4 linked regions of the Struthio camelus genome follow. The protein of the gene in region 2 binds, or shares a complex with, the protein of the main gene of each other region. Links are inferred from orthologs where the notes say so. Each region holds a gene or a part of one and is shown on either strand. Other genes may lie near its edges.

Region 1 (6,892 bases), on a different chromosome or scaffold from region 2:
GGCCACAAATTAGGTAAAATTTCAAACAGGGACCATTTCTGGGGCATCTAGTTATCATTTCTGCAACATGCAAGACTTCCCCTAACATGACAAGGCATCCCCTGAGATGCCATACCACTGAACAGCTGCTTTTTTAAAGTTAGCAGCTTTTGCTTCCATTCTAAAAATAACTTACACCAATGTTTTTTCTTAAGTCTCAATCAACAGCAATTCTTGTAGAGTTATTCAAGTGGAGGGCTGTTCAGATGTCCTGCACACTCTTACTTGTCTGTATCAAGAAGCCAAAGCAACAGTTGCCATCTATTTTTCCCCAAACAATTCTCACAGTGAGGAAGCAAACCAGGGCAAAATAGGATAGCACAACTAGCACATATGCCATGCTTTGAGCCAAACTACATGTCTAAACTGATACTGGTCAAAGCCCTGGAAAACAAACATGAGATACTTATCAGAAACAGCCTGCCCATTTACAATTTCAAAAAATTGTCACACAGGTACTTCTATAGCCTTGTTTATTTTGTTCCTAGCAGATCTTTGTAAAACAGTACCTGAGTTTTACATTATGTAAGCAATCGTTAACTTGTATTGTTTTCCAGAAACACTAAAGCTTTAGCCTTATCTAAGCCAAACATTACACCTTTTCTAGAATACTGGTAAAGCTTGAACTTCTGAAGCAGCAGAACAGGGAAGCAAATGATTGAATATAAAAAGCTCAATGGAAGACCATAAAAAGTTACCAAAAACAAGCAATGATATCTCAGTAGCATCTTGAAAGAGATTTGTTTCTAACTGAGAAAGAAGGAAAGCAAGTTAGAATGACTGCATTTTATTCACACATATGTATAAAACTCAGGTAGAATTACACCATTTTCATTACCAAGACAAAGAGCAATAAGTTTGGAAGCGGGGTGGTATTTACAAAGCAAATGATGAGTAAAACTGTTTTATTGAATGAATTACTGTACATCATATAGTTTTTCTATGCTGAGTTCTCAAATCTATTAGAGGAAGTAGATAAACTTTTTCCCCACCCAAGCATGATGCATTGCATTTATTTACATCATTCAGTCACAGACAATGTTGTTCACTTGAATGAAAAAAAATCTGAGATGACAGGAAAATAAAATAGTTAAAAAACAGTGTAACCAAAATAACATAGCTATATCGTGTATCAATGAATGACATTACTATAGAAAGTCTTCATTTGTCAGGATTTCACTGTCACATCCTCATTGCTCAGCATCTTACAAAGAAAAGTCAAAACATTTTTTTTAGGCTGAATATATTTATCTTTCAATCACAGTAAGCTATCTTTTTAGGGAGTCTATATCTTCGAAGCCAAGTAACTTAAAGATTAAGCCACCATGTGAAATTACACAGGCAGTGGCAAGACCATTTAGCTACACTTACATTTCACTGTCATCTACACAAGTTTGCTGTGATACCAATTATGCTCAGACTACACTGGGATTTTTGTTTCTACTAAAGAAAAAAAAAAACTCTCAAACTGCATAAGACTAGTCTTGTTTTCCAGCTGGCCTATGATGCTCCCCTGAGCTCTGACATCCAGCAAGAAAAAGAATGCCTCTGAGCTGATGGGGATAGCTTGGTGGAGAACATTCACAAGCAGCAAACACACAAACTCCTTCTCCACCACAATTTCAGCGTTCTTTAGATCCAAACCCAGCAGCTAAACGCAGACTTAATCTGATTGTAAAAAGCATTCTCAGGTTGTTTCGGTTGTAAGTAATACCATATCAGAACACCATAGGTGTAACAGAGCCTTACAGACAAGTATTTTTGTACTGCAATCGCTTTATCTGTCTCCTTCACAGAGGAACCGTACAGGCCTAGGTGTAAGCGTGCAAAACACAAGTCTCTGCCCACCAGCATTTACGACCCGCGTCGAGCTTAGCGCGTTTCCCCCAGCCCTACTACAAGAACGCGATGTCAAAAACCAAGCTACAAGCAGCAACAAGAGAAACTTTTCCCGGAGTTACTTTCAGTAAAGGCGTTTCAAACCAGCACCAGATTTCCCCTGTCACTAAGGGCATCGTAAAACGATTGGTAACGCGCTAGGGCTACCCCGGTGCGCCTGAGACCTCGGAGAGCGGCCGGAGGAGGACGCGGAGCCGGGCGAGGCGGCCGGCCCGCACCGAGGCGCGCCTAGGGCGGCCGCTTCTGCCCGCACGAGCCGGGCGGCTCACCCGCCGCCCGCGCACCTTCTCCCGGGCGGGCTCGGGTGCGGAGCCGGCGCTGCAGGCCCCCCGCGCTTGTTACGCCCCCGCGGAAGCCTCCCTCTCCCCCTCCTCGGCAGCCACCATTCGCTGCCCGCCCGCCCCGCCGGGCCCCGCGCTCCCGCCCCCGCCCCCAGCAGGAAGCCGCCGCCCGCCCCCTCAGCGCGGACGCCCACACGGGCCCGGGCAGCCCCCGCGCCCTGCGCAGCGGTTGGGCCGCGCCCCAGCCCCGCAGCCAGACCGGACCGGACCGGACCGGACCGGGCCGCCGCCCCCACCCCACCCCACCCCACCCCACCCCACTCCACCCACCTCCCCTCAGGCCGCCGAGCCGCGCGGCGCCTCGCACTCACCCGTCGCCCACCACCACACACTTGATGGCCTGCATCGGGGTTGCGCCGCCGCGGGGGCTGCTCGGGCCGGGGCCGCGCGAGAAGGGAGCCGGCGGCGGTCTGCGCACCGGGTCGCGGCCGCCTCCGCGCTGTGCCTGGCAGCGGGGGACGAGGCAGCGGCCACCACCCAAGGCGGCGAGAGGGGCGGGCTGCAGTGGAACAGGAAACCGCTCCAGTCACATCCGGCTCGGCCCCGCCGCTCCGTCTCCCGGGCCCCAACTCGGCGAGGCCCCGCCCGCCCCCGGAGCCGCTTCGTGCCTCTCCGGCCAGGCGGCGGCGCCGCTTCGGAGCGCTTCGGCAGCGCTCGGGTGTTTCCGCCGCACCGCCCGGGCTTCGGAGTGCTTCGGCAGCGCTCGGGTGTTTCCGCCGCACCGCCCCGGCTTCGGAGTGCTTCGGCAGCACTCGGGTGTTTCCGCCGCGTCGCGCCCTGGGGGCTTGGGCAGGGCTCGGCTGCGCCGTGCGTGTGCTGCCGACCCAGTGCGGGAGCGCGGAGCCGCCTGGCCCGCCGCCGCGGGAGCGCGCAGGCCCCCAGGGTCATCCTTTTGGGTTCTTTTAATCAGAAATGTGGTGTGATGCGCTGGCTCTGCTGAGCGCAGCCCAGCCGTCAGGCGTCGCGGTGCGGCGGCCGGGCCCGGCGGAGGCGCGCAGGCCGCAGCAGGGCGGCCATGTCGCGGCGGCAGCCCGCCGGGGCGCATCGGCCTGGCGCTGTCGCCGGCGCCGTCACGTCGGGGCGAAGCGCTCTCGAACCCAGAGCTGGCTCCCGGCACCCCTTTGGGGTGCTGCGGCTCGGTCCTGACCCAGCCTGGCGCAATCCGAGCGCCCACGTGGCGCCTCGCGCCTCGCGAGGCCTGCGAAGGTGGGATGGCGTTTGCCCCTGCAGACCGTGTGAGGGACATTATGTCTTTCCTTGACACAATGCGCCAAAGTACAGGTTTGCCGTGCGGATGTAACTCCGTGAGGTTCCCGGCGTGCGGCTGTGGGCCGCTCCCGGTGTTGGCCAGCCGGCCGTGGGCGGTGGGACTGCGCGTCACACCGCGAGCCAGCGCAGGGCTGTCAGGACGTTCTCGTCCTCAAGGGAGCCCTGTGCCGCCCTCCTCCTCCTCACGTGCTACAGCCTTCATGAACTCTGCCGGCAAGTTTTAGAGCAGGCCGGCACAGGCAGTCTGCGCGAGAGGGGCGGTGAGGGCTCACGGAGAGACGTGCCCGCCGCCACGGCCCGCTGCGACCTCCCCCGAGCGCTGCCCGGGAGGTCGCTGCCGTTGGGCTTGTGGCACCGCGCACGTCTCCAAGTTACTTCTTCCATGGTCTTCCAGCCACAGCTTGCCACCCCACACAACGTGGCACAACACCGAGAGATGTGACGCGCGGTGATATGTGTATTTCTGCTTAGTTATTCTTAACGGTTTTGAACTCCAAAGGTGTTAAGAAAAATAAAGATTAGCACCACAGTATTTTCTATTATTTTGGCTTGTATTTTATGAACCAGCTTTGCAGGGTCAAAGCAAGAGGCATATAAATTATAAATATATCCACCCAGGAATAATATTAGTGTTAACACTTATTCATTTCTGGGATGCTTTAGATTTCATTGCTTTGGAGCTCTCTTTTCCACAAGAAAACAGATATTTTTATGAATTACTGAAGTGACAGGCGTGCTCTAGCATGTAAGTAAATACTTATGTACTGGAACACATAGGTTAATAGAATAATTTAAAAGTCAAGCAGAGCAGGTCCAATGATCTCCGGAGTTATTTCATTTCTTCCATTTGTTCTCGCGGTGATTCTGCTCGCAGAGAAGCTTCTCATTGGACTGCTCTTCTCTTTGTCTACATTGCCAGCCATTCCTCAAAGAAAGCGTGAGGAAAAGGCCCATACACATGCTGCCTCTGCCAGGGGCTGATGAATCCAGTGAAATCAGTATAAAGGACTATACCACCCTGGAAGTTTTTCCAGTGATTTGATCTCATACTACTTCCTGAACATTTCTAAGCAAATATGATAACAGTACAGTGCAACCTCACTGGTGGACAGGGCATTCCATGATACTTACTCTTTTTGTTCTTTTGCTGAGCAAAGAAAATTCTCATATATTTCACTTCAGTCAGGAAAACATCATAAAGATCACTGTAACCTGAAAAGCTCTTGCAACACTTTTTTTTGGAACACTTGCATGTCCCTATCCCCTCATACAGATGGAAGTTGAAATGGCTGTTGTCATTTAAGCTAAATATCCTTAAAACCAACACTCTGCTGCTAGCGATGACCTGGCAACCGTTCCCTACCCAGCAGCCGGGAGCTGCGGGAGAGAGGTGTGGGCAGTATCACAGTGCTCTTGCTGTTCTTGGCTGCTGCAACGCTTTTGGAGCTTCTGAGATGCTGCATAGAAACAGAGCAGACATGAAGCCTGTCTAATTTATGCCATGGGCCTGGGGAGACACAGAACACAGGAAGATTCAAGGGACACGTAAAACTACTTTCAATTTTCCCACCACCTACATATTCTTCTGCAGGTTCTTACATTATCCAGTGTTATCAGACGGATTATGGGGTTTTTTAATGTGAAAAAGAGATACAACAAAATTTACAATATTAAAACATGCAGTATTCTTCTGTGGTTTATACTTCATAAATAATAATAACTACAACACGTTTTTGCGATGTTCAACTTTGGCTTTGATTTTGCCTTTAGTTAAATGGTAATTTAACTGTATTTTTTGCTGCGGTTATAGAAACCGACTGTCATTTAAAAATACAAAATGACTTTAACAGCATAAAAATACTGTAATGGAGAAAAGGTTATGATGGAAAAAAACATTTACGTTAGCACAAATTGTTTTCACGATCCTGTCATGAGACAAGCAATATCTTTTTACGTATGTTCTTTTCAGTGCTCCTCCATCTGATTCTTTTGGGATCAATTGTTTTGCATTGATAAAAAATAACTTAGAACACAATATGCTTTGATTATTTTAATTGAGTATATAAAGACTAACATTATAAAATATCTACATAAATATTCACTGTTAGTCACTAAAAACAATACTACAAATTTGATATATGATGATGATAACTGTAATAGATGCACCCAGTTTTGTTTCCATGTGTTTGCAAATCTTTTGGAATAGTTCAAAACTTTGCATTTGGAATCCTAGCTGATACCTTTGTTAAGGTAACTATTCTTAGATGCTCTGCAAGACAAACTGGTAGTTGTGTGTACTTTGAGTATATTATGCATTAATTATTTGTTTGTTAATTAATTTTAGTATAGTTCAGCTTCTTCTTTTTTATACTACTTCTTTTTTGCTAACTATTATGTAGTATACTTGGTTTTAAAGAGAAACAAATAACTTAGATGGTGCTACAAATGTGTAACGCTCTGCAGACATGTTTTTTTCCCTGAGACTGCAAGAAGAAATGGTCACAGGGAACACGTAAAACATTAAGTTTGTCAGAAGATAAGGAACTTAGAGAATAGTTTGAAAGGCAGGGCAAAGGAGTGAGCAGTTAAAGCCAAACAATTTCATAGAGAAATAGCTGGTTGATAGATGTGATTGCACTGCTGAGTAGTGTACAGAATACAGTTAAAAATGCAGTGCAGAGAGGAGTATGTAAAAAGAAAACATGAATGGTAGTAACTGTAAGCAACCTTTGCATAATTCTGATAAGGTCATGAATCATAAACTTGAGGCTTAGATCAGTCCTAATTTTGATCTATAATCTATCACCCTACCTTCACTTATCTATTGCAATTTTTGATATTTTTTTTTCTTAGACATTGAGAGGAAATAATTATTTAATATTGTCTCAGATACTGCCTGCATGTGAGTATTGTGTATGTGCTGGCACTGAAGGAGGTTATGTTCCTTTTTGGGTGGGGAGTGGCAGGATAATCACACTGATGCAATACTGGAAAGTTTTACTCACCATGACATAGACTATCAGGATTACAGAGACAATAATAATTCGCAATTTTATAGCATCTCCCAGCCCAAACTATTACTGTATTCTTTCACGTGTTAGCTAATAAAGCCACCCACAAATCACTGAGATGTAGAGATACAAAGTAGTATGCCTGTTGTACATAGGGGGAAACATATCAGTGAAAAAAAAAACAGAACACCTAAGCGTGATTCAGAGATCTGTTCTCTTAATCTCAGATGACACTTCCTGCTGCCAGCAGCGCTGTTCAATTGCTTTCAGCAAACAGTGTGTTACAGTATCTAAGTCGAAAGCAAAAGCCTATCTTTGTTGATAGTGTAAAAA
Region 2 (7,249 bases):
CGCCAAAATAATATATGTTTTGTACTTACGCCAAGGAGGACTCTGGTGTAGAAGAATTTTGGTGGGAGATCATATGCAAGATAGAACCACCAAAAGAGGAAGACATTTAACCCCAGCCACACAAGCTGAAAGAGAAGCAAACAGGAAACTTTAGTTTGTTGTTAAAGACTGTATGTCTCAATTTACACAGTTCAGAAAATGACCAATTAGTGCGTTGCATTCCTATTCACACAGAAAGGTGCCCTTCAAGGTGTGAAGAGATCAGGAGGGACAATATATATTTTACTGGTGGAAATAGGCTTTGAGGTGTATACATGGGAGTACAGGAGTGGCAAGAAAACACAGCATGAAAACTGGTAGCTGAAACCTTTGTATAGCTCAAATGATATGATTATATAAACTAAGAATCTGGCTAAGTCTGTGAGTTTAGCTGAGTCTCTAAAAATCATTTAAAGGCTAGGTCCTCTTCTTAACGGGAATTCCTCAGACACACTAACCCATATAAGAGGAAGACTTTGGAGCTGCCAAAGCCAAGCTTTGGAGCTGTGCCAAAGGACAAAGAAGGTTGAGGTCTAAATATACATGGCCAAAATTACACCCAAGGCCCGAGTTTAATGTTTTCAATTGAGTAGGAGCCTCTGAAGGTCTGAAATCAGCCAGCAGGAAATATTCAACACAGGCACTTTGGTGGAGTTTAGGCTAACTGGGCTTCTTAGTAGCTGTGCTGCAATATTCTCTTGTACTTACACAGCCTACAGGGCAGATTTCTTTAGGGAAAGAATTTATGAGCACTTCTCGAAGCTCTCTAATGCAGTTACAAGCACATCCAGCCCAAGAGACCATAATGAATTGGGCCATGCGCCCTTCTGGAGATAGTTGGCTGACTTCACACCCCCCGGTGAAACCAATCTATATCACTGCACCTCTGTTCTAAGGGGATTTACTAGGTGGTGCGTGAAGATGGAAGAGACAAAGAATGAGACCTGTAGACCTGTAATCGCTGGTTTTAAGTTCAGGCTGACAGAAACTGTGACACTACAGTCTTTTGCCCTTCTTAGCCCAAAGTTTAAAGTGCTAGTCTCGCTTAGTTTCTTGGCCCAGCTGACAGTGCAAAAAGCTTGGGATTATTTTAGATCTGGAAAATGTCTCACCTGTAAGGTGTAAAGGCAGGGAAGTGAAGGGATTTCCAACAGCATAAGTCAGTATATGAGAAATCCACAAACCCTCAAAATTAAGCTCAGCTCAGGATAAAATGCTTAGGATGCAAATTTAAAGTAAGAGTGTGCCACTCCCATTTACAGTAGCCTGACAGCATGTCCAGAAGACTGAGATGCTTGGCATGATCCATGATGAAGCCTCACACTTCTTGGTGCTAACTCATAAGGAATGTGGAACCCTTGAGAAACACTGTGACACCCTGTGACAACTTTGGTTGAGTTGCAGAGTTAGCAGCTACCACCTCTTTGGTTAGGGCCAGTGGAGGCAGCATATGTTAGGGCTAAGGCTGCCATGTCAGGCCAAAAAAAAAAAAATCAAGACTATTTCTATTTTTTTGAGGAAAATAATAAAAATTGTGGCTGTCCTGTTTTTATCAAGCACTGGGCCACCCTGTAGATAATGAATGTACTATAAACTTGTAATGGACAATGCGGAACACTCTCTTAAGGCCTCTGATGAACTGTCCTCTTAGCTGGTTTCTTTATCAGTGACTTCTTTATTTTCCTTCCCTCTGTATTAGCTAACCTCGTATAGCTCTGAGATTCTGTACACAATTCCTTTTTTGAACAAAATAATAAGCTCTTACTTAATTCAGTTAATATTGCAGTCCTGATGGGAAAAATGTGGCAGAATTCACCTCCTGGCAGTTTCAACTTCCTCAAGTCACTGGGTGTCAGCAAATACAGCCCTTTCAAAGCACTGAACTGTCAGTGTTGTGTGGCTAAACTAGAGCTATGCTTCCACAATGTAATATGTAAGCATCATTTGTGGCAGGAGAAATAATACATTTTCGAATAAAGATGTTCACATTCAGTCTTCACAAATGTAGTTCTATGTCTTCTTTTTATTCCTCTCAGTATCTACCTAATTAACCACACTTGACAACAATCCCTTAATTGGTTTTACATTTTGCTATTACACAATATTGAATACCTATAACTTTCATATCATTAATTTCTTCCCAAGGCACTGTAATGTGAAGAAAAAAAGAATACTGAAATACTAACTTCTTTTCTCCAAGGAGGAGATCTGCCTTACGGTTTAGCTCTTTTAAATGTAAGTGGGATTTCAATTACTTTTAAATCCTGCCAGGAACTAATCAAACTCAGTTTTGTAGCAGCTCCATGCAAGCTCTATACAAGCACAGTTCAAATATAGGTTGTCTTAATGAGAGATTCATGAATCTCTGCTCTAAATCCTGGAATTTGACTACAAAAACAAATTTTCTGCTACCAAGAAATGTTCACTGTGCTCTCAGTAACATGCATTTTTGTTTATAAAAGTGTAAGAAAGGCTTGTTTTAGTTTTTTTTTTTCTCTTTCAAAATGCAAATAGTTAACAGTGAGATGTAATGCTATTTTTTTTCCTTAAGTCATTATTGCTTCAAAAAACCTAGACACTTAAGCATTTATAACAAAGCAAATGAGAGTTAACTTATGATAATTTCTCAGCTGACAATGCAGCCTACAGCAATCAGGATTCCAGCTAGAGCTCCTTAAAAATTATACTTGTCAAGTATAATGCAACTACGTCTGCTGCCCTAGTTTCAGAATAATCAGCTGCATCACTCACAGGCGCAATGAGATCTACTTATTAAAATTTTCCGTAGAACTTTTTACTAGACACAAAGCATAATAAAAATTGTACTTACAACAACAAAGATGGACAGTCCTTCATTCTCCACCCAGTTACCCATGACTGCCTGAGAAGAGTGTACACAATGGTCCCGTCCTTTCTGGGACAGTGTCTATGTCTTCTCTCACAAGGAAGTGAGAGTAGAAGCTTGCAGCAACCTGTTTCCTTTCTCATTTATTTAGGAAATCAGTTAACCATGGAATCAGATCCATGGTTCAATTTCAAACATTTTTCTACCACCTCTGCATGGAACTTTTAATAACTCAGACATGCATAAACTATTCAAACAAACCATTTCTTTCTCATGTGGTACAAAGTTTGGGTTTTGCTGGGGTTTTCAGCTCAAAAATGTATTGCCACTTTATACAACTTTCAACGCATGGAAGAATCATCTCCTCTCCAGCTTTGTCTTTTTTTTTAATCACTTCAGGTCATATTTGCCATTCCTGATGATCCTCTTTGATGACTAATCACTAGAATTATTTATCTTGCAGTAATTCACTGTCCACAGAAGCCCCCAAATGTAATCTAACACTTTTGTTGTCTGGTACATATACACAAGTTTTGCCACTTTCTCTCTGCTTGGCTCTAGATAGTCTATTTTTCATATTTTGTATTTTTCATAGGGTCCCAGCCCCGGATATTGTTTCACTATGTGAGAATAATTTTTTTAAAGCAAGCATTTTGCTTTCGTAATTATAGAGAAATATATGGAAAATTACCCCAGTATATTTTAGAGCTTAGAAGCCAAAGGACATTGTCCCAAGTGTATACATTTTTCAAAAATAGTATCATGATTTCCTGAGGGAGTTTAATGATTTCTGAAGGTCTCGTCTCTGTGGTATGACAATTCCCAAACTGACAGTAAAGAGCACAAAATGGTAGACTGGAGGAAACTTTGGGGATTAAGTGGGAACATCCTTTGGCAAGGTCAGGGCCCCAGAGAGGAGAAATGCTTCTAAATAGGCTTCCTCTTCACTTTTTCTCCTATGTTTCACCCATTGCACCACAGAAATATAGATCTCTGCTGAAGATGAGTAATACAAGTCTGCCTCCTTTCAAAGATTAAGGTGTAGTATCAATGTATTTTTCAAGATCTTTTTATACTTTAAAGAGAAAAGTAAACTTCTATTTTTTCTTGAACCAAGGGCTATGCAGAAAAACTGTTTTACCAGTGAGCTCTCTTTGCCAGAGCTATAACAGATTATTCAGAGTGCTCCTGTCCTGCAGAATTTCACTGCTTTAGAAAGTCTCACAGAGCACAGCGTGGCCATGCGCAGTATTAACAGCTTTACAGCATACAGATGCTTTCCAGGCCCTGGTCCCACATTTACTGGAGTAAATAGGAAGCTTCTTGTCCAACTCGAATAGCATAGGCTTGATGTCCAGCGTAACTGTTGATCTGACCTGCAGCTGGGACCAAGATGTTGAATAGCTAACAAGAGCTGTAGAGGCAGACATAAAAACTGCGTGATTCACGTTAGACAGCAAAAATACTCAGCACAACTTGCCTTGCTATGGATTCACTTAGAAACTAGCTTTCTTAGAATCCGTTTCTGGTAGGGATAAGACATTTGGTTATGATGTAGAAATGAGAATTAGGAGAGGCAACATAAATACCTGTGTTCTTGCTAACTGATCTCTTCCTGCCTTGACTCCTAACTTATTCCCTCTGTTAAATTTCTCCTGGAATATGACTGCTGTAAAGTAACATAACTGGGACTTAAACAAAGATCCACGGCAAAAATAAAATCATAGATGTCTCCATGTTTATAAAACAAATGAATAAAGGTATCTGAGTGAGACAGATGACTTCTAAATCATTATTCAATAAAGCCAGCAAGGCTTTTGACACTGTCTCCCATCACATCCTCCTAGGTAAGCTCAGGAAGTGTGGGTTGGATGACTGGACAGCGAGGTGGATTGAGAACTGGCTGGATGGCCGAGCTCAGAGGGTTGTGGTGAATGGTGCAGAGTCTAGTTGGAGGCCTGTGGCTAGTGGTGTCCCCCAGGGGTCAGTCCTGGGTCCAGTCTTGTTCAATGTATTCATCAATGACCTGGAGGAAGGGACAGAGTGCACTCTCCTCAGCAAGTTTGCTGCTGATACTAACCTGGGGGGAGTGGTTAACACACCAGAAGACTGTGCTGCCATTCAGAGGGACCTGGACAGGCTGGAGAGGTGGGCGGAGAGGAACCTCCTGAAGTTCAACAAAGGCAAGTGCAGGGTGCTGCCCCCGGGGAGGAATAACCCCATGCACCAGTACAGGCTGGGGGCTGACCTGCTGGAAAGTAGCTCTGCAGAGAAGGACCTGGGAGTGCTGGTGGACAACAAGTTAAGCATGAGCCAGCAGTGTGCCCTTGTGGCCAGGAGGGCCAGTGGTATCCTGGGGTGTGTTAGGCAGAGTGTTGCCAACAGGTGGAGGGAGGTGATCCTGCCCCTCTACTCAGCCCTGGGGAGGCCACCACATCTGGAGTACTGTGTCCAGTTCTGGGCTCCCCAGTCCAAGAGAGACATGGCACTACTGGAGAGAGTCCAGCGGAGGGCTACAAAGATGATGAGGGGACTGGAGCCTCTCTCCTCTGAAGAAAGGCTGCGAGAGCTGGGCCTGTTCAGCCTGGAGGAGAGAAGATTGAGAGGCGATCTCATCAACGTGTACAAGTATCTGAAGGGGGAGTGTCAAGACGATGAGGCCAGCCTCTTCTCCGTGGGGCCCAGCAACAGGACAAGAGGCAACGGGCAGAAACTGAACCACAGGCAGTTCCATCTGAACCTGAGGAAAAACTTCTTCACTGTGAGGGTGACAGAGCGCTGGCACAGGTTGCCCGGAGAGGTAGTGGAGTCTCCTTCGCTGGAGATATCCAAAACCCGCCTGGACGCGATCCTGTGCAATACGCTCTAGATGACCCTGCTTGAGCAGAGCGGTTGGACTAGATGATCTCCGGAGGTCCCTTCCAACCTCAGCCATTCTGTGATTCTGTGTGATTCTGTGATTCTATTCCTTATTGAGAAGTATAGAAGTAACAGTTCAAAGTTAGCCTAGGTGAAAAGAGCAGTCCTCCATCTCTTTACATAGTCAATGGTGTTCCCAGTAACCTCTTTTGACAAGCCCTGTGGTCGTCCAAGCTCTTGTGTGATGTTAGTTGCTTTGATGACCTTCCAAAATCGATGTCAGCAGAGGGTCTGATTCCTCATATTTAAGTCCAGTGTTTATGGAGGGAGCCTTGGGAGCTAAACATCTTGAGCAGTCAGGGAATAAAAGGGGTTGGTCCTGACCTGTGGATGTCCATTCTCACTGTAAGATTAGTGATTTCTCCCTGCTCAGAAACAGCAGTGCTCCCTTTTCATCACTGCTTTAAGCTGAATTGCTTATGGCTTCTCTAGGGTGTGCAATCATGTGCAGCCAGGACGCTCCAAGCATTAGCAGCCCTGACTTGCCTGGCAGCTCCTCAGACTCTAGATCCACTAAAACATGGATTCACTGGCTCAGGAGGTTTCTGGCAAGTCATAAACCCAAGAGGTGCTGATCTTAGCTCAGTCCCAGCTCTGAAATCACCTCATCCATGATATTCCCAATAAGAATGGAAAAAGTATCGTGTGTAATTATTTTTTAATGCTCTATAAATACCCTTTGCCCTTACACAGTGTAAATTAGCTTTGGAAAACTATCAGCTGGTGATAAAGGACCAGGTAAAAAAAATCTAGGACAACGCATAGCAAACCATGCCTGGCCGCTATAAGTAACAGGTGTGAGCAGAACTGGTATCAAAACCACCCACACATCACACTTGATTTAATTGCCATGCTCGCACGTTCTAAACAAGTAAAAAGTCACTGCTGTGGAGATAGACTTGCATGTTTTGTACTTTGTTCTATTTTAAAAAATACGTCATGTAGGAGAAAAGGCAACATTGCTAGCTTTGATTAATAATTATGTAGGAGTGTGTAAAATGAATATGAAAAAATTAAACATTTTCTATCTTTGTCTCTAAAATTTATTTCAAGCTAGCTGATTGTTCACAGCACTTTTCACCCTTTTTTTGTGTGGAAAAGTTCAATGGAGAGTGATTCTTTTTCAGGATGGCAATTTTGCAAAAATATTCAGGTCTCAGGGTTCTTTATTTCCTTGCAGTAATTTTACCCCCTTGGCTATGAATTAATTTAGTTCCTCTTGTAATTCATGTAACAGTATCCCATGCTAAATCTTGCACAAATTAAAATGCGAGGCAGTTGCAATAGGCCCAGGTGTTTCACACCTGCCTGCTAAAGGGGACAAAGTAAGATTTTTGCATGTATAAACCCCAAAGGAGGATGACAAGCAGAACAGAGTGAAGGAGACCCGACTGCTGCACTTCTGACGGTGTTGCTGAACCATCTTTCTGCTGCCCCTACCTATGT
Region 3 (7,646 bases), on a different chromosome or scaffold from region 2:
GGAATAATCACGGTCTTACCAACAAAGAGAGACCAAGATCTGATGCCAGGAGACCTCTTCAGATGGAGAAGGAAACTTGTGCGGTTTTCAACCAACATGTACATCTTTGGAAGAAGCTCCCAACAGCCCAGTCAGACTCATGAAACCTTACAGGACAAAAAAAAAAAAAAAAAGTTGTTGCTGACTACAGCTCTCTCTCTTCCTAGCAGTTGTCATGACTTCTTATCAAGTTTTAATCTAGATTATAAAAACTGTCCAGAGTAGGCATGTGGTCTTTTTCCTCACAGAAAGAAAAATGCATACTTAAATACAAGCAAACAAGACAGTCCAGTCATGTGGAGATCTGCAAAACACGACAACAGGAATCTACACACGCCAAGAGACTTCCCATTGGGGGGGGATAAGAGGCAATTCCTTCCCACCATAAGCAGCACCCTCTGGAAAGGTTTCAGAAGCAAATGTGGAAAACAAGAGCCTGGAATGATGTTAGGGCTGCATGAATTAGCAACTCTTCAAAAACAGAAAGTAGCAAGAGTAATGGAAGTTTTTTGACACCGCCATTTATTCTGCTAACAGCAATGGTAGCCGTAACAGAGCAGCCTGGCAGCCGAAGCAGGACAACGAAGCCTTCTTCAATACAGATACGGAGTTTCTCAGAGCTGCGGCCGCAGCTCAGCACAGTGAGGTACCAGTGTCAGATGGCGCCAGATACGGCATTCCCATGTTTCAAGCCAGCTCCAGAATAAAACCAAGATTTTCCAGCAATAAGTATACTTGACTCGCCCCAACAAGACCATGTCCTTCAACCAAGAGAGAAAGTAACTGATTAAAAAAAAATCTGATTAGAGATTAAAAAAGGGTACTAACTGAAAACAGTAAGAGCAGGACAAACTTATGCAGCATTTCTAGCACGTATTTACAGCATAAAACTATTTGAATTTTGGCACGATTGTGGACTCCAGTGGAAAAAAAAAAAAACCCCTTCATCCTGATATCAGCACAAGCATAAAAAGTGATTTGTACTAAAGGCATAGCAATAGGCATGAGGACCCAGCTGATCTTTCCAAAATTAATTATCACCAGAGAAAAAGCAGGCTGCTTACTGCTTTTTTCTCTTTCAGTAAACTGATAGAGATGCTTGACATTATTATTGAAGACCCTGATCAGTAGAAGCGAGATGGGAAAGGAAAGCACATGTTAATATGGCATCACAATGTTAGCAGGGTATACGCTGGCCTTAAAAACAAAACAGGAGAAATCCATGATTGTGGATAACCCCTTCCCTTAGCCAAAAAAAAAAAAAACCACAAAAGAAAACAAAAACCCTACCAAGCCACAGACGTAATTTAATCATTAAGTAGCTGGCTCCTTTGCTGCAGGATCAGCGAGCAGGAGCTGGGCACTAAGCAGGTATTGCCTGCCCGCGTCGCGGGTTTCCAGATGAATGCCAGCGTTCAACAGTTCTTTAAACAGACAGGAAAAACGCTTAGAACCGAGCAGGCCCAAGCACGTCCCAGTCTGACGGAACAAAAGCACGCGACCTTCAGTCCTTTACTCGTCTCGCTGTTCTTAGATACTACATGACGCTCCCGCAACTCTGCACGGCCTGGCTAGCTTGGATACAAAGCTCCAGGGGAAGTTTGGTTTTTTTCTTTAACAGAACAGATTTAGCCCAAACCTGCCATTTAAATCAAACACACACACGACTTTGATTTCAGTAGCTCTTAGCAGTGCATCCGAGAGAACGTAAAACGGAAAGAGACGCGCTCCGTCCCCTCCGGGGGCGAAGGCTTGATTCCCGAGTGAGTAGCGGGAGGCGCGCTCCGCGCAGGCAGAGCCTCCTGCCGCCCAGGAAGCGTCAAGGAGGGGGCAGACGCGTGAAGGTCACTGCAGAAACCTGGCCTTTCTTCAGAAGGGACACGCTCGACTTGTGTGCGTGTTTGCCCCCGAGCGTGACCGCGAGCCTCTCCCCTCCCTGCTGTTCATTCGGGGAGCGCCATCAGGCAGAGGCCCCGTTAGCCCCGTCGCCCACGCGCCAGGGCGTGGGTGCGCGCGTGCCACGGACAGGCGCTTGCTGGCGAGGGAAGTGCCGCAGGGAATAAAAAAGCACAGCAGCAGCTTCTTGAAGTTACACATAATAAGCCGTAAGGCTGCCTTTAGAACCACGTGAGCGGGAAGGTTTCACTAGGGCACGCTTGAGATCACAGGGGAAGGTGCGTTTTCGCTTTACCAACAGCATTAGCAGCCCGATTTGTTGGCTTCGACATAAAAGGGACCTAGAGCCGAAAGTCAACGTTCATCCGCTCCCTCCAAGCTACTGGACGAGGGCGAGCTACCAAAAGCTATCTAAAAAAGCACGCTGAAAGCTTCCTGACACAGAGGACGGAGGCAGGAGCAGCCGTGGGGCCGCAGCTCCGCCGCCGCCCGGCCCCGCGCCCGGGCCGCCGCGGGCAGGGGAACCCACGCAAGCCACGGAGAACCCAGCACGCAGACTGCGCTGCCGCTTCCTGTCAGCGCGGCGCGGCGAGCACACGGGCTCCGCGGGGATCCCCCGCGGCAAGCTCCCCGCCGACCCAGCCCCAGCCCCAGCCGGACGCGCCAACGGCCACCGCCGCCCTGGCAGCGCCGCCCCGTTAAGGACACGGCCGCCGGGACTGGCGGCGCCCCCAGCCCAGCCCAGCCCCCCTGCCCCGCGGCGGCACTACCTGCCCGGCCCCGCGGCGGCACACGCGCGGGGAAGCGCTTTGAATGGGACGCCCGGGCACCGCCACTTCCGGGGCCCCGCCGCCCCGAACCATAGAGCAGCGCCAAACCGGCCGCTAGGACACACCATCGAGACGCGCTGCTTAAGAAGAATGCCGGACGCCAGCGGCCATTTTCAGTGAGGGCAAACACGTGCGCAACTAGACCTTCCCTCCTCGCGCACGGCAACGGCTCTGGCTTAGTGTGTAAGCGGGGAGGGAAGAGCCTCACCCAAGCTGGCCGCCATACTGCCCGCAGTCAAGATGGCGGCCGAGCTTGAGGCTCCTGCCCAAATAGGAGCTTTGAGGTCTCTTTAGGTTGTTTGGCTTCAGCCGTGTATAAAGGGGCAGGAAAACTCGCGTGATTGCAGAGGAGGGAGGCTGAGTGCTGTGGGGCTAGGCTGGATGTGTGGAAGGGAGAGTTGCTAGGCCTGGTGGGCTTGTGCCCTGGGCACCTGCTGTCAGGGGTGGATGGATGGATGGATGGATGTTTGAGTAACTGCACACTTGTAAGAGAGAGTTGACATTTTTTGAAGTTTCTTATTCCTCTAAGTATATAACTCTGGATACCATGGAGGGTTTTTGTTGTTTTTGCCTGTACTAATTTATAACAGTGTTGGCAATTTCTGTTTTCTATAATATTTGGTAGTTCTAAAGCTTTAGCTTTTAGTGCTCATAGCTATGGTAGTTATAATAATTGAATGCAATCCATTTTTGGATGGTTGTTATAACAGTGTATGCAATCTTGAAAAAAAAATGCTGCAGTTCAAAAACCAGCCGAGGGGAATGCAAAGAAATAACCACGGCAATAAATCTTATAGGTTTAAAATTAATGTTATCAGAGGCATAACGTTGGGGGATCATTTGTCACTTGAAGGCATAGGCTTGGAAAATCTGTTGTTTGGGGAGGAGAATTTCCAAGTCAGGTGAACTATTGAGTGTCCTTCCTGCTGTGGATAATAGGTTACACTTGAAAAATTCTACGTGTTCCTCCTAGTTCTGTTAAACACTAATAACATGAAAAAACCATTTCTGTTCAATCCATTAGGGTGTCTGCTTGTGTAATATCTGAGACAAAATGGGTAAAGTGCAGATACGTGTCCTTTAGCTTAACTTATTTTAATCCCCATTATGTAAGCCAATACGTCACTTTATCTGTGAAAGAGATTCGGTCCTCTCTGTTGTTCAGGAGCGCGGTCCTTGAATGATGTGCTCAATTTCTGGCTCTTTTCATGAAAAGAATCCAGATGCTCCAGAGTGCCTGCTCGAGGCCGTTAAATGGTATAAGTTTGTTCAGCTGTTCCTGAACATTGCTGTTGGTCAGCAGTAACTGGGTTTTTGAAGAGGCAGTGTTTTTCTAACAGGCCAGAGTGAATTATTTAACGATGGGAAGGAGCTCAGCCCCCGCATTAAGAAATTAACTGACTGGAAGTTGCAGAAAATACAAAGTGACCTGCAATGCTTGTGTTGCTTGAAGAGCTATGAGAAACTGCAAGGCTGAATTGGCATGCTTGTGAGTCAGGAGGTACCAGCTGCTGATGGATTTTGCTGATGAAAAATAAGAAGTAATAAGTATCTTTGTTCTGAACCCAAACAAGCAGCTGACTTTCTGAGTCTTCTGAGAAGAAAAGAGTTCTTCTATGAGCTGTGGTCAGTCAGGTTTTACAAACAACCAGTTTCTCTGGAAACCAAATGCTTGAACTACTTTGAGTGGTACAAGACAGAAAAGGTTTCTTGTGTCTAGAGCAGCGTTCGTGAAACACAAGAACCTCGTCCGTCCCCTCCACTCAGTATACACCATGTAGCATACAAGTGAGGATTTGTTTTATTCTTGCATTACTATCTGTGAAAAATATTAGCAACCACGTGCTGCTTCAGTTTGGCAAAGGCCACAGCATGATACCTGGTATGACTTAATTTAATTATGAAGTTAGAAATTATTTTCTGCAACAATCCCTCATTTTACTACACGACTTTGAAATAGGTAAGTCATTTTATCCCTACCAAGGCAAAAAAGGAAGAAGAAACACATTTTAAAAGCCTGAACGTGGACTTGAAGAACAACACAAATTCCAAAACACGTGGCTGCAGAAACAAAAGCTATTTGCCAAAAGAAACACATAGAAAAAATGTAATTGATTATTTGTAGATTACTTGTTCTGTATTATAAAAATAGATCTTTATTGTAATGCATTGTATAGTAAATATACTTGTAACTGTTCAGTCATTGATCCGAGAACAACAACATGCACACATAACAGAACTGTCCTTTATTTTACAGTAGTTTGGTACTACTTATATTTCTACTCCTGTCTTCTAATTTCAGGCCATTTTTCTAAATACTCTCTTCTAACTCCTTTCCCATGACTGAAGATCTTAAAACTTAGGAATTCAGCAGTACAATAAGTGTGTAATCTTAAGATGCCAGCATAAAATTTCTGGTGTGTTTGACTTTAACCAATTGGTTGGAAGCAGTCACTAAAACAATGTGTGTAGTGTGTGTATTGTGACGGGACTGAGTTGGCTTTAGGATGCCAGTTATAAATGAGACCATCCCGTTGAGCTGGGCATGGTGCCCCACTGATCTCTATGGGAACATTGCGTATAAAGCCTGTAGAGCACTCATTTCATGGAGTACATGTTTTTTAGCTGCTGCTCTTGGCAAATTCTGGCAGCTGTTGAGTGGCGTCGGCCATCACTGACTTGAGGCATTTACAGCTTATAATCGTTGCAGGACTGAGGCATTACCTTTAAAGCTTTTGAAAATGGATTACAGCATCTACTGTTTTTTCATAGAGGAATGCTTAGTTTTCCATTTCACTCTTGGTATGAACGCTTTAGGCACAGGCGTAAATGTTAAATATAGCAAAAGGGATCATAAAAGCAAAATAATGCTCTTAAGTGCTACAAACTGTGATTTTCTTCAGAAGTGTCTTTGCAATCTAGCAAAGGTACGTACTATTACCTCCCCAGGGGCAGATTAAAACTGGATGGTGATCTCTTTTTCTAGATTATTAGGCACTGTGATGATGGTAACTGATAACAGATGCTCTGTGGGAAAATGTCATAAATAGCTATTGGAAAGCAGAAATTACTCTTGGCAATAAAATATAAGGGACATCTAATTATCTAATGATTACACAGGTATAACCTTACCGCTTACATTGAAAACATTCGTTCCTTGTGTGCCCTGAACTGAACCGAATTAATTTCGAATTACAAGTTTTTGCTGTTCTTTTTCTATTGCTGGAAATCTTAAATTGAAATTAATTCAGTTCAGGTATTCCTAAACCAGAGGAGTGTGTCAGTACACTTGAGCTGTTTTCAGATGTTTCTATACAGGTTTCAGGTTTTTATGTAATCATGGGTTTTGCACTAGGACTATAAAGAAATAAGATGGGAAATTAATATTTTAATATTTTTAAATGATCATCTTTTAAATGATATCTGCAGGGATATAAAACTATCTAAAACTGCCATATCTTTTGAAGAATCAGTGTATCACGTCTGGATAATAAATGTCATAAGTAAGCATAATCCTCAAGAGTGAACCGGAAGGATGTTAGCCATGCTTTTTAAGTACAAATCTCAACGCTTCTAAATTAGGACTTGCGTCGGTGCTATCACTATAATCGATAATGCATCAACACCATTCTGTCCATGTGGGATAAGTTGCAAGATGGACACAGCTTTTTAGTATGAAAACATTCATCCAAAGGAACAGAAAACATTGAATGTTAGCTAGTGCTGCATTCTAGTAATTCTGTAGGAAACCCAAAGTCTTAAGTTGCATCGGGATTGTTTTAGAGTGACTGCAGTGCCTTAAAAGAACTTGCATTAATCTACCAAGTGCAAATGCAAAAGCATTCTGAGTAAAGAAAGTAGAAGCACAAGAATTTGGGATTACTATCACTATTACAATTTTTACCTCGAGCTAAAATGAATGCTAGTTTTTCCAGGGTCTGCGTATAGGACTATCTTTTTTTTTTTTTTTCTTAATTGGTAATAAATAGTGTTTGTTTTTGCTTTCGTTATGATGATACAGGTAGAAATTTCCGTGTCCTTGACCTCAAGGATAAGGTAACTTCCACCTATAGTCTGGGCATGTAAAAATAATGGTGTTTCTTTGTTTTACATTCTGCCCTGGCCTTATCTTTAAGGACGCTAATGTAATTACATCGTTAAACTTTTAACAGCCGTCTCAACAGACGTTTGCTTCTCTGGATTGTGATGCCTCTTACAGACAGGTGCAGTGAAACAAGCGTTTGGGGAGTTATGTTCTTGGGTTACAAACTTTGGCAGTCATGACTGTCTGTAGTTTTGTACAGCATTATCATTTATGCCTAACAAATATTTTTGTGGATTAAAGTATTTAGACCTAAGCTGTAACAGGAAGAGATTTACCTAGTGCATGTGATAAAGGGAGGTTGCACTTTAAGCTGAAAATAGCATGTTTTCAGAAGTTTGGTAGTTTTGTTCCTAAAAAAGCCATTTTATAGTTGAAAAACTTCTCTGCGCAGATGTCGGTGTATGCTTATACGTGTCTCTTTAGGGTGGGGGGTTAAAAGAATGAGCAAAACGTGAACTGAACCTTTGTGTTTAAATATCATAACTTGCTACTTAGAAAGACAGGCATTTTCAGATAAATGCATAGACATCTGAACTGATACTCTGGGGGCCTGAGAGGTTTTGGAAGGGTGATGTGCATGTGCACGTGCAATAATTTTGTTACAGGTGAGACACCTTGATGCCTGTGTGGCGACAGCCTCAGCGATATTTGTGTTTCGTTACAGAAATGGGAAATCATAGCATATTGGCTAAATAAGATGCTGCTGCCGATTTATGTGTTGAGTAACTTCTGAACCGTTATTCCGTAAAAAATAACGGAGAGAGAACAAACATCAG
Region 4 (7,998 bases), on a different chromosome or scaffold from region 2:
GGCCTCACTCGGCCTCGACGGCGATGGGGTTCACCTGGCCTCCTGCTTCCGCCGGCGGCTTCTTGCGTGCGTCGGCGGGGGGCCGGGGCGGCGGGTTGGTGGGTGGCTGCTTGATGGTGTCACCCACGTGCGGCCGCTCCCGGGGCTTCTGCTCGATGGGCCTCCACTCCTCACCACGCACCGCCGCCTGCAAAGCCACCGAGGCTGTGAGGAGGGGAGCACGTGCCCCCACCCAGCCCCTCGCCCACGGCCAGCCCCCCAGAACAGCTCTCAGCATAGAACTGCCCTCCCCCCCCCCCACCAAAAATGACTCCTCAGCGCAAAGCCCGGACAGCCAAGTGGGTGGCACAGAGCTCAGCGGGACCCAGGCATCCTGCCGGGGGGGGGGCTTCTGCCCCAACCGCCACGCTGTGCATCCCCTCCCCACCCCAAGACTCAGCCAGGAAAAGCAAGTGGGGGACAGGCCAGGACGGACAGAGGATGCTGGCCGGGATGGATGGACAGACGGACAGAGGATGCTGGCCAGCCACCACCAGCCCAGCACTCACCAGCAAGTAGATGCCGCTCGCAATGCCCAGGCAGACGGTGCCCAGGATGGTGGAGAGGAGGAAGCCGGCGGGGACGGCCAGCCTGCATGGGGAGAGACGGCGCTCAGCGGGGCACCGCACGGCCGGCTGGCCGGTCGGGGAGGCGGGGGCTGCACCCGCAGCCCGGGGCCCACACAGACCCCTCGGCCCACTTACGCGGCGTGTAGGATGGCCCGGATGTAGTAATTCCTTGTGAGGGGCCCGAACACCTTCACCACAGCCGTCATGTACTTCTGGCCACTGTACGGGAAGATAGAGTGACACAGAGGGGTCAGGCCGGCACTCAGCGCTGAGAGACCCCCTCCCAGGACCTCCCTCTCGCATTGACCCATCCCCATGCTCCCTCATAGCTGCCCTCCTGCACCCCCCATTGATACCAGCACCCCAGGAAACCTGCCTGCAGGATCTGGCCCTGCTCATGTCAGCAAATTGCCCAGGTCAGAAAGCCTGGAAGAAGCTGTTCCCAGCCATCTCCATGCCCCTCTCCTGACCGTGCACCCTCTGATGCTGTGGGGGCCTTTTACCAGGACCCCAAATTCCCAGTGCCAGGGGGGCAGCACCTACCATCTCTCCATGGTGGAGCCCTTTTTCCGCTTGCTCCTGGGGTATTCGAGTAGGCAGACGAAGACGCCTGCTGCGCTGAGGTGGGGGCAGCGTCAAGGAAAGGGATGCTCAGGGTCTGCAGGCCACGATTAGGGGCATCACCATCACTGGAAAAAGCGGGGTGGGGGGGGAGGGCTGGAGCAGGGTGCGTGACACAGGGACAAAGCCATGCAGGGGCAGCAGAGAGTGGACCAGCACCCCCCACCCCCACCCTCATCATCCCCAGGTAATGGGGCCAGCACCCCCAGCCTCCCAGGGAAGTTTTGCAGAAACGTGAAGGTCATGATGCACTTTCAGGACCTGCAGGAAAAGAGCCATTTGGGACAAGAAAATGGTGATTTTGGAAAAGAAACTTGTAAAGAAGAGGAACTTGGGAAAAGAAAGTGAAAGTAAAGGCTACTTGCTATGCTCCAGCAACTCATCCCTGTCTGGCTCCCCTGCAAACAGCCCGGCCGGTCCTCAGCATCACCTCCGGAAGGATACATGGCGTACGCCGCGAAATACCAGCCCTTGAACTGCCCTGCCACGGCCACGATCCCTCCGGTCAACATAACTGCGGGGACACAGCAGGGTCAGCCAGGCAGGCTACGTCCTGTGGCCCAGCAGGGCCCTGCCCCGGGGACCTCTGCCATGCCGGACCCCCTCTGGTTTGAGCGAGGGGAATTGCAGGACTCTGGGGAGAGGTTTTTTTTTTTCCCCGGCGACTGCACACCTCCGCCCATGAGCTTTGCTCCACTCCCAGCTGCCTTGTACAGACAGGACGCCCGGAAAGAGGAGGAAGAGGAGGCTCTAGTCCTGCTAATCCCCAGGCTGGATGGGACTTTCCCAGGCCGTCCTGGGCAGCATCACACCTCCTGCTTGCACCGCCCTGGAAAACCCCGCCAGCCTCATGGGACCCAGCACCCCTTGGTCACGCCACGGCCGGCGCCAAGGGAGCAGCACTGGCGCCGCGGGGCCAGCGCGGAGGCAGGCAGGCCCCGCACGTCCCCGCTTTCGCATACTGACAGCTTCCCCTCGGCCACGAGGCCGTGCCCTACCCCGCTCGCCCGGCTGCCCGACGCAGCCGAAGGACGAGGGCTGGCGGACGACAGATGCACCCCGAGACCCAGACGGAGCAGGGTGCCCGTTTCCTGGGCTGGGTGACGCCGGCAGCTCGGCCCCCGCGGCAAGGAGGAAGCCGCCCGCCTGGGCCAGGGAGCACGGAGCGAAGGCGGCGACGCTCCCCGTGCCAAGGCCGCCCCATCCCGCCGCCCTCCTGCCCGTCGGGCTCCCAGGCGGTGACTCGTCCCCCAAGCAGAGGGCGAAGGCGGCTCGGAGGGACGCGGCTTGGCGGCCCCTGCGCTTCCTCAGCGCCTTCCACCCCCAAGGCCCACCCAGGGCGACTGACTTCTCCACGGGGTTCAGTTACGACAACTGAGCGCAACGGGCTGGAGGGGAAAGAGAGAGGCTCCAGCCCGGCGACCCCACGGGCGGGAGGGCTGGGGGCTTCCTCAAGCCGTCAGCAGCCGCTGGAGGCTCCAGCGGAGCAAGGGCCCAAGCGCTCACGCCCCCGGCGAGGGCCGGGGCCGGCAGGGAGCCCCGGAGCCCCCTCCCCACGCCGGGCAACCCGGGCCTGGCCCCGGCCCCCCCCCGCCCCGCACACTCACTGAGCCCGGCCGCCAGCGCCTGCTCGTTAGCCCACATGGCCCACTCGATCTGCCCCATGGCCCGGTTCGGCCCGGTTCGGCCCGGCCTGGCCCCGCTCGGCTCGGCTCGGCCGCGGCGGAAGCGGCGCGCTACAATGTAGCCGAGCGGCTGCCCCGCCCCGCCCCCTCCGCGACGCCCCGCCCCCGGCCCCGCCCCCCCACGGGGCAGTGGAGGAACGCGCCGGGGGGGGGGGGACGGGGCAGCCCCACGGCCCCCTCGGCTCTCCCGCGACCGCACCAGTACACCCCGAAACACGGCTGCAGATGGGAAAAACCTCTATTTGTTCACAAAAGAGTAAAAACCAGGCCCGGGGGGGGGGGGGGCACATCCTGCCCCGGGGGAGGGGGCTTTGCAGCAGGTCACAGGGCACCAAGCCCAAGGGGCAGCGCGCGGCCAAGCTCCGTCCTTGCCCCGTCTCCCTGGAGGGGCTATGGGCACGGCCGGACCCCCCCAAACTGCCGTCCGGCGCGGCCATCCGGCGCGGCGTCACCACGAACGCGGCCCCACGGCGGGGGGCTCAGGCGCTGCCTCGGGGCAGCCCGTCGGCCCCCAGGAGGTGCTGGCTGGGGTCGTCCAGGAGCTGGGGTCCGGGGCCGGGCTGGGGGCAAGGAGAGGTGTTAGTGGGGAGCCGGGGCTGTTCCCGCCGGGGATCCCCGCTCCAGGCCGTGGGACAGCCAGCCCCGGGGACGGCACCTGGGAATCCTGTCCCCAAAAAGGCCACCCCGTTCGGCAGCCCAGCCTGGGCCGGCACTGCGGGACCACCCCTGGGGATGGGGACGGGGCCCCCTGGCCTACCCGGCCCCCCGCGTACCTTGGTGTGCAGGATGTACCGAAGGGCCCCCGGCACCGGCTCCTGGACCACGGCCGTGAGCAGCTCCTCCGCCGGCGAGGCCGAGCCCACCGGCAGCCCTTGCAGGAACCTGCCGGCACGGCCGAGCGCTCAGCCCCACGCCGCAGCACCCGTCCCCCAGCACGGGGGCCCCGGGGTGACCCACGGCGGGCAGGGCTCGCAGCCCCCAGCCCCTGGGACCCCAGCTCTCCCCCAGCCTCACCGGGAGCCCCGACAGCACTTACTGGTCCCCGTTGGGCGCCGGAGGGAAGCTGCGTTTCACCACCTCCACGAACTCCGCCACGGTGTCGGCCAGCGTGAAGATCACAGCGTTGGGGCCGGCGTCAAAAGTGTAGGCCACCTGCAAGGGGCGGGAGGGTGGGCACCAGCGCCACGGGGCGGGGGGGAGCCCTGGCGCCGGCCCGTGCCGGCCACCTCCTACCTTGGTGCGGCCGTGGTGGGCGTTGTAGCGGTGGGCCAGGGCGATGAGGCGGCGCGAGACGTCGTCGAGGTAGAAGATGGGGGGGAAGGTGTCGAGGCAGGTGGCGTGGAACTGGTTGCTGTCCCGCATGGTGAGCTGGCCGAAGGCCTCGAAGTCCCGCTCGCGGATGTGCTGTGCCATGCGGGCGATGCGCTCCGGCACCAGGGCCTCCGCGCGGTGCTGCGGCGACACGCGGGCCGGGGTCAGCCGTGGCGCCAGCCGCCGCCCCCCGTCCCCGGTTTCGGGGCTGTTCTCAGCCCATCGCCCCCTCGGCTGCACTAGGGCCACGGCAGCGGGTTGCACCCTGCTCCCTCCCAGGGTTGGATCCAAGGGCACTGCCGAGGCCGAGGCGCCACGCTGAGCCCCACGGCCCCCCCTCTGCCCAGGGCAGTGCCCTCCATCCACGCCAGCCCCCCAGCAAGAATTAAAAATACCACCCAAGGGAGACGTGACCCCAACCCACCACAGGACCGGGATGCAGGGAGCTGCCCCGGGGGGCAGGACGGGCCCTGGCATCCCGGCCCCCTACCTTGAGCAAGGGGCTGGTGTCCACGCTGGTCTGCATCCCCGCGGTGCTGCCCACCTGCTTCTTCTCCGCGCTGACCTGGCGCATGGGGGGCAGGCGGTGGGACACGCGGCACCCTGAGCCCCCAGCCCCAATCCCCACCACGGGGATCCCAGACCCCGGCACCGCGCTGGCGGCTGCCCCCAGCCTCGCGCAGGGTCTGCAGGGGGAGCAGGCACCCCGGGGGCCGGGGCTGGGGTGTTCTCAGCACCCTCTCTCCAAACCACGACGAGCCCCGCGAAGGTGGGCACGGGGACAGCCCGCCTCCCCAGCCCCTCACCACCAGCACGAGGATCCTGAGCTCCGGCCAGTGCGTCTCGGGTGCCACTTGCTGCGCCACGCTGTCCTTCCCGTCCGGCCGCTCGCCCTTGTGCCACTGCACGAAGCCCCCGAACATGCTGCGGCAGGCGCTGCCCGAGCCCTGGCGTGCCACCTCCGAGAGCTCGCCCTCCACGCCGTACAGCTGAGCCAGGGCGTACACTGCGGGCACGGCCGCGCGTCAGCCCCAGCGCCCCGGGGCCGCCTGCCGGCCCGGCCCGGCCCGACCCGACCCGCACCCCGGCGCCGGCGCGCGCTCACCCAGGCAGGCGTAGCCGGCTGCCGACGACGCCAGGCCGGCTGCCGTGGGGAAGTCGTTCGCCGTGGCGATGTGGATCTTGTAGGCCAGGCTGAGCGGGGCCGTGTCCTCGGCGGTGTCACCGCCACGGCGCTTCCGGGCCAGGCGCCGCACTGAGATGGCACAGAAGTCGTCGTGGGGGGGGGGTTTAGGCCTCGGGAACGGGGAGGGACGGGGACGGCGAGGCAGGTTTGTACGGTGCCGCGCCTGGGCACCGTCGCTCTCCCCTCCCAGCCTGCTCACGGGGCAGGGTCTGCCCCCTTTCCCTGGGGAAACCGAGGCACGGGAGGGCACTCACCTTCCCGCAGGCAGGACTGCAGCCGGGGGTGCCCCACGTCAGCCTCCTCCCCGTTCAGCCACAGCCGGTCCTCCTTGAAGTCCCGGCTGATGGCAGCGGTGGTGGTGGTCTTCAGCTGGCCGGGGGGCAAAGGACGCTGAGCAGGCGCAGGGAGGGGCTGGGGCAGCCCGCAGCCCCCCAAGGGCGCCAGCGGCCCGTCCTGCAAACCCAGAGTCGCCCGGCCGCAGGGCGGCGTCGCGCACCCAAGGATGAGGCGGGGAAGGCAGAAAGGCCAGGAGAGGCAGGCAAAACGGGGGCTGAACGCCAAAATCCCACACCTTCCCGCAGCTCCGGGCAGCGCCAAAGGCTGTCAGGCTGGGCCACGGCGCGGCGAGTCCGACCGCCCAGCCAGCCGCCCCCGGCCCCGGCAGCAAACGAGCCCCCGTTCCCTGCGAGCGCCACGTCCCTGGTGCCGTGTGAGCTCCTGCACCCGGCTTCTGCCCGCCAAGAAGGACCCCTGCTCTGAGCCAGGCCCCCCACCTCGCCGTGCCAACCTGGTCCTGGTGCAGCGTCACGCTCAGCGAGGAGTTGATGGGCAGGATCAGGTCGCTGTCCCGCTTGCCCCCTGCAAGAGACGCGCGGGTGGGGTGCGCGTGGGGGCCTGGTGCCAGCCCGTGCTGCTCGTGCCCTCCCGCTCCGGGCCGAACCGGCTGCCACGGGGCTGGCACGGCACGGCACGGCACGGCCTCTCGCCCTCCTCGGTGAAGGCTGGCGCAAGCCGGCGCCTTTGGGGCTCGCTGGAGCCCGCTGCAGGGGAGCGATGGGAGCCCACCGGCAAGGGCTTTGCTCCTGCCGTCCTCGAGCCCATCCAGGCAGCCGCCCCATGGACGTGCCCACCTCCTCAGGGGTCCCAGCTCGGGGGGGGGGGGTTCCCCAGGGATTTAGGGGAGGGGGAAACCCTGGAGAGTCACAGCCCTGGGGACAGCCCAGGGGACCGACGGGTCCCGGGGGCCCTTCTGGGATGACACAACCCGCTGCGGTTTCTGCATCGCCCCACAGCGAGGGGCAGCCCCCGTGCTCGCCCCGGTGCTGAGCCCCGCCGTGCTCGGGGCCCTGCAGGCAGCTCTGCCCCGGCCCCCGGGGCAAGGAGGGGTCCGCGCCGGGGGGCGGGACGCTCGGGTACTCACAGTACTTGATGACAGCTATGTTGACAGGGGCCGTGCAGGTGACCATGGTGAGAGCCTTGTCCTCGGACATGGTGGCGACCCGTCCCCGGCCACGCACTCAGCTCGGGGACACGACCCGAGCCCCGGCAGCACCAACCCAGGCTGGGTGCAAAGCCCCGGGCAAGCGCTCGGCTTGGCCCCCAAGCAAGACCCGGCCCCCGAGCAGCCCCAGCACCCCCGCACCGACGGGGCAGGATCGGGCCGGGCCAGCCCCGCTCCCGGCCTCGGACCACCCACGTGCCGGCGCCGCGCAACACTGTAGCGAGCTGCCGTCACCCCATTGGCTGGCGCCACCGCGGCCGGCCCCGGGCGCCCAATAGCCTCGATCGGACCACGGGCGCTGGCCACGCCCCGCAGTCCCCCGCCCGGAACGTCAGGGCCGCCCCGGTTTCCCCCGCCGGAGGGCTTTGGGCCGCGCGCAAGGCGGAGGGGGAGCGAGGCCGCGGGGCGCGCGCGGCGCCATGTCCGTGCCCGGAGCGCGGCACTGCGCATGCGCCGCCCCTGCCCGCCGTGACACCGTGGGGGGTGGGGGGGCGTGAGCCAATCCCAGTGCTCCCAGTGCTCCCAGTGCCCAGGGTTCCCCTATGGCCTCCAGTTCCCCCAGCCCTCCCAGGGCTCAGTACCCCCTGTGATCCCAATACCCGGTGCCCCCAGTGCTCCCAGTATCCACTGCCCCCAGTATCCCCCAATGCCTCCATTGCTCCCACTACCTACTGCCCCCAGTGCTCCCACTGTTCCCAATGCTCCCAGTACCCACTGCGCCCAGTGTTCCCAGTGCCCCCACTTCCCCCAGTGCCCCCATTGCCCCCAGTTCCCCCAGTGCTCCCAGTGCCCCCACCTCTCCCCTTGCCCCCAGTGCCCCCATTGCCCCCAGTGCCTCCATTGCCCCTAGTGCCCTCACTTTCCCCAGTGCCCCCAGTGTTCCCAGTGCCCCCACTTTTCCCCTTGCCCCCATTGCCCTCAGTGCCCTCAGTGCCCCCAGTGCCCCTAGTGCCCCCACTTTCCCCAGTGCTCCCAGTGTTCCCAGTGCCCCCACTTTTCCCCTTGCCCCCATTGTCCCCATTGTCCCCAGTGCCCCCAGTGTTCCCAGTGCCCCCACTTTCCCCAGTGCTCCCAGTGTTCCCAGTG

What was found.
Region 1: CYBB (region 2) and RAC1 share a complex: the UniProt entries of both Homo sapiens proteins name them as parts of the phagocyte NADPH oxidase complex. The link is inferred for Struthio camelus from reciprocal best matches to the Homo sapiens genes CYBB and RAC1.
Region 3: the proteins of CYBB (region 2) and CYBC1 are in contact, whole or in part, in a cryo-EM structure (PDB 8KEI), measured with the Homo sapiens proteins. The link is inferred for Struthio camelus from reciprocal best matches to the Homo sapiens genes CYBB and CYBC1. Residues at the interface, in NP_000388.2 of Homo sapiens: Trp28, Asn74, Leu75, Leu76, Ser77, Phe78, Leu79, Arg80, Gly81, Ser82, Ser83, Ala84, Cys85, Cys86, Trp206, His210, Phe212, Pro266, Met268, Trp270, Lys271, Ile273, Tyr280, Tyr324, Phe326, Lys328, Leu335, Glu336, Trp337, His338; in NP_001028218.1 of Homo sapiens: Arg22, Leu26, Ala37, Ser41, Gly42, Asp43, Trp47, Phe50, Tyr51, Phe57, Gln61, Asn62, Glu64, Lys77, His97, Asp98, Gln99, Val100, Val101, Val102, Leu103, Arg108, Ser111, Glu115, Val117, Arg118, Tyr119, Phe120, Arg129, Ala131.
Region 4: the proteins of CYBB (region 2) and CYBA are in contact, whole or in part, in a cryo-EM structure (PDB 8X2L), measured with the Homo sapiens proteins. The link is inferred for Struthio camelus from reciprocal best matches to the Homo sapiens genes CYBB and CYBA. Residues at the interface, in NP_000388.2 of Homo sapiens: Thr116, Ile117, Leu120, Phe121, Val123, Glu124, Asn128, Asn133, Lys161, Asn162, Pro163, Gly166, Leu167, Ala170, Val180, Thr183, Leu184, Ile187, Leu188, Thr191, Ser192, Thr194, Lys195, Thr196, Ile197, Arg199, Ser200, Tyr201, Glu203, Val204; in NP_000092.2 of Homo sapiens: Gln3, Ile4, Glu5, Trp6, Met8, Trp9, Glu12, Gln13, Ala16, Ile20, Thr23, Val27, Gly31, Phe33, Thr34, Gln35, Arg56, Arg59, Met65, Gly102, Phe103, Leu104, Leu105, Ala106, Ile108, Leu109, Ala112, Cys113, Ile116.

Annotation. Positions count from the first base shown.
Region 1 is NC_090956.1:9,200,356-9,207,247, reverse strand, and holds the start of RAC1 (ras-related C3 botulinum toxin substrate 1), read right to left. Parts: upstream 3,014-6,892; 5' UTR 2,626-3,013; coding exon 2,591-2,625; intron 1-2,590. UniProt on the Homo sapiens protein: Plasma membrane-associated small GTPase which cycles between active GTP-bound and inactive GDP-bound states.
Region 2 is NC_090942.1:129,259,128-129,266,376, forward strand, and holds the start of CYBB (cytochrome b-245 heavy chain), read right to left. Parts: upstream 3,012-7,249; 5' UTR 2,915-3,011; coding exon 2,870-2,914; intron 126-2,869; coding exon 30-125; intron 1-29. UniProt on the Homo sapiens protein: Catalytic subunit of the phagocyte NADPH oxidase complex that mediates the transfer of electrons from cytosolic NADPH to O2 to produce the superoxide anion (O2(-)).
Region 3 is NC_090960.1:11,019,557-11,027,202, reverse strand, and holds the start of CYBC1 (cytochrome b-245 chaperone 1), read right to left. Parts: upstream 3,003-7,646; 5' UTR 2,831-3,002; exon of another isoform or gene 2,706-2,830; intron 147-2,705; 5' UTR 105-146; coding exon 20-104; intron 1-19. UniProt on the Homo sapiens protein: Functions as a chaperone necessary for a stable expression of the CYBA and CYBB subunits of the cytochrome b-245 heterodimer. Controls the phagocyte respiratory burst and is essential for innate immunity.
Region 4 is NC_090951.1:2,456,111-2,464,108, reverse strand, and holds the start of CYBA (cytochrome b-245 light chain), read right to left. Parts: upstream 3,017-7,998; 5' UTR 2,895-3,016; coding exon 2,837-2,894; intron 2,566-2,836; exon of another isoform or gene 1,913-2,565; coding exon of another isoform or gene 1,903-1,912; intron 1,744-1,902; coding exon 1,674-1,743; intron 1,227-1,673; coding exon 1,152-1,226; intron 828-1,151; coding exon 744-827; intron 631-743; coding exon 549-630; intron 188-548; coding exon 5-187; 3' UTR 1-4. Other genes in the region: MVD (diphosphomevalonate decarboxylase), read right to left, coding at 3,394-3,474, 3,688-3,796, 3,951-4,066, 4,148-4,366, 4,716-4,790, 5,032-5,231, 5,331-5,480, 5,666-5,780 and 2 more. UniProt on the Homo sapiens protein: Subunit of NADPH oxidase complexes that is required for the NADPH oxidase activity that generates, in various cell types, superoxide from molecular oxygen utilizing NADPH as an electron donor.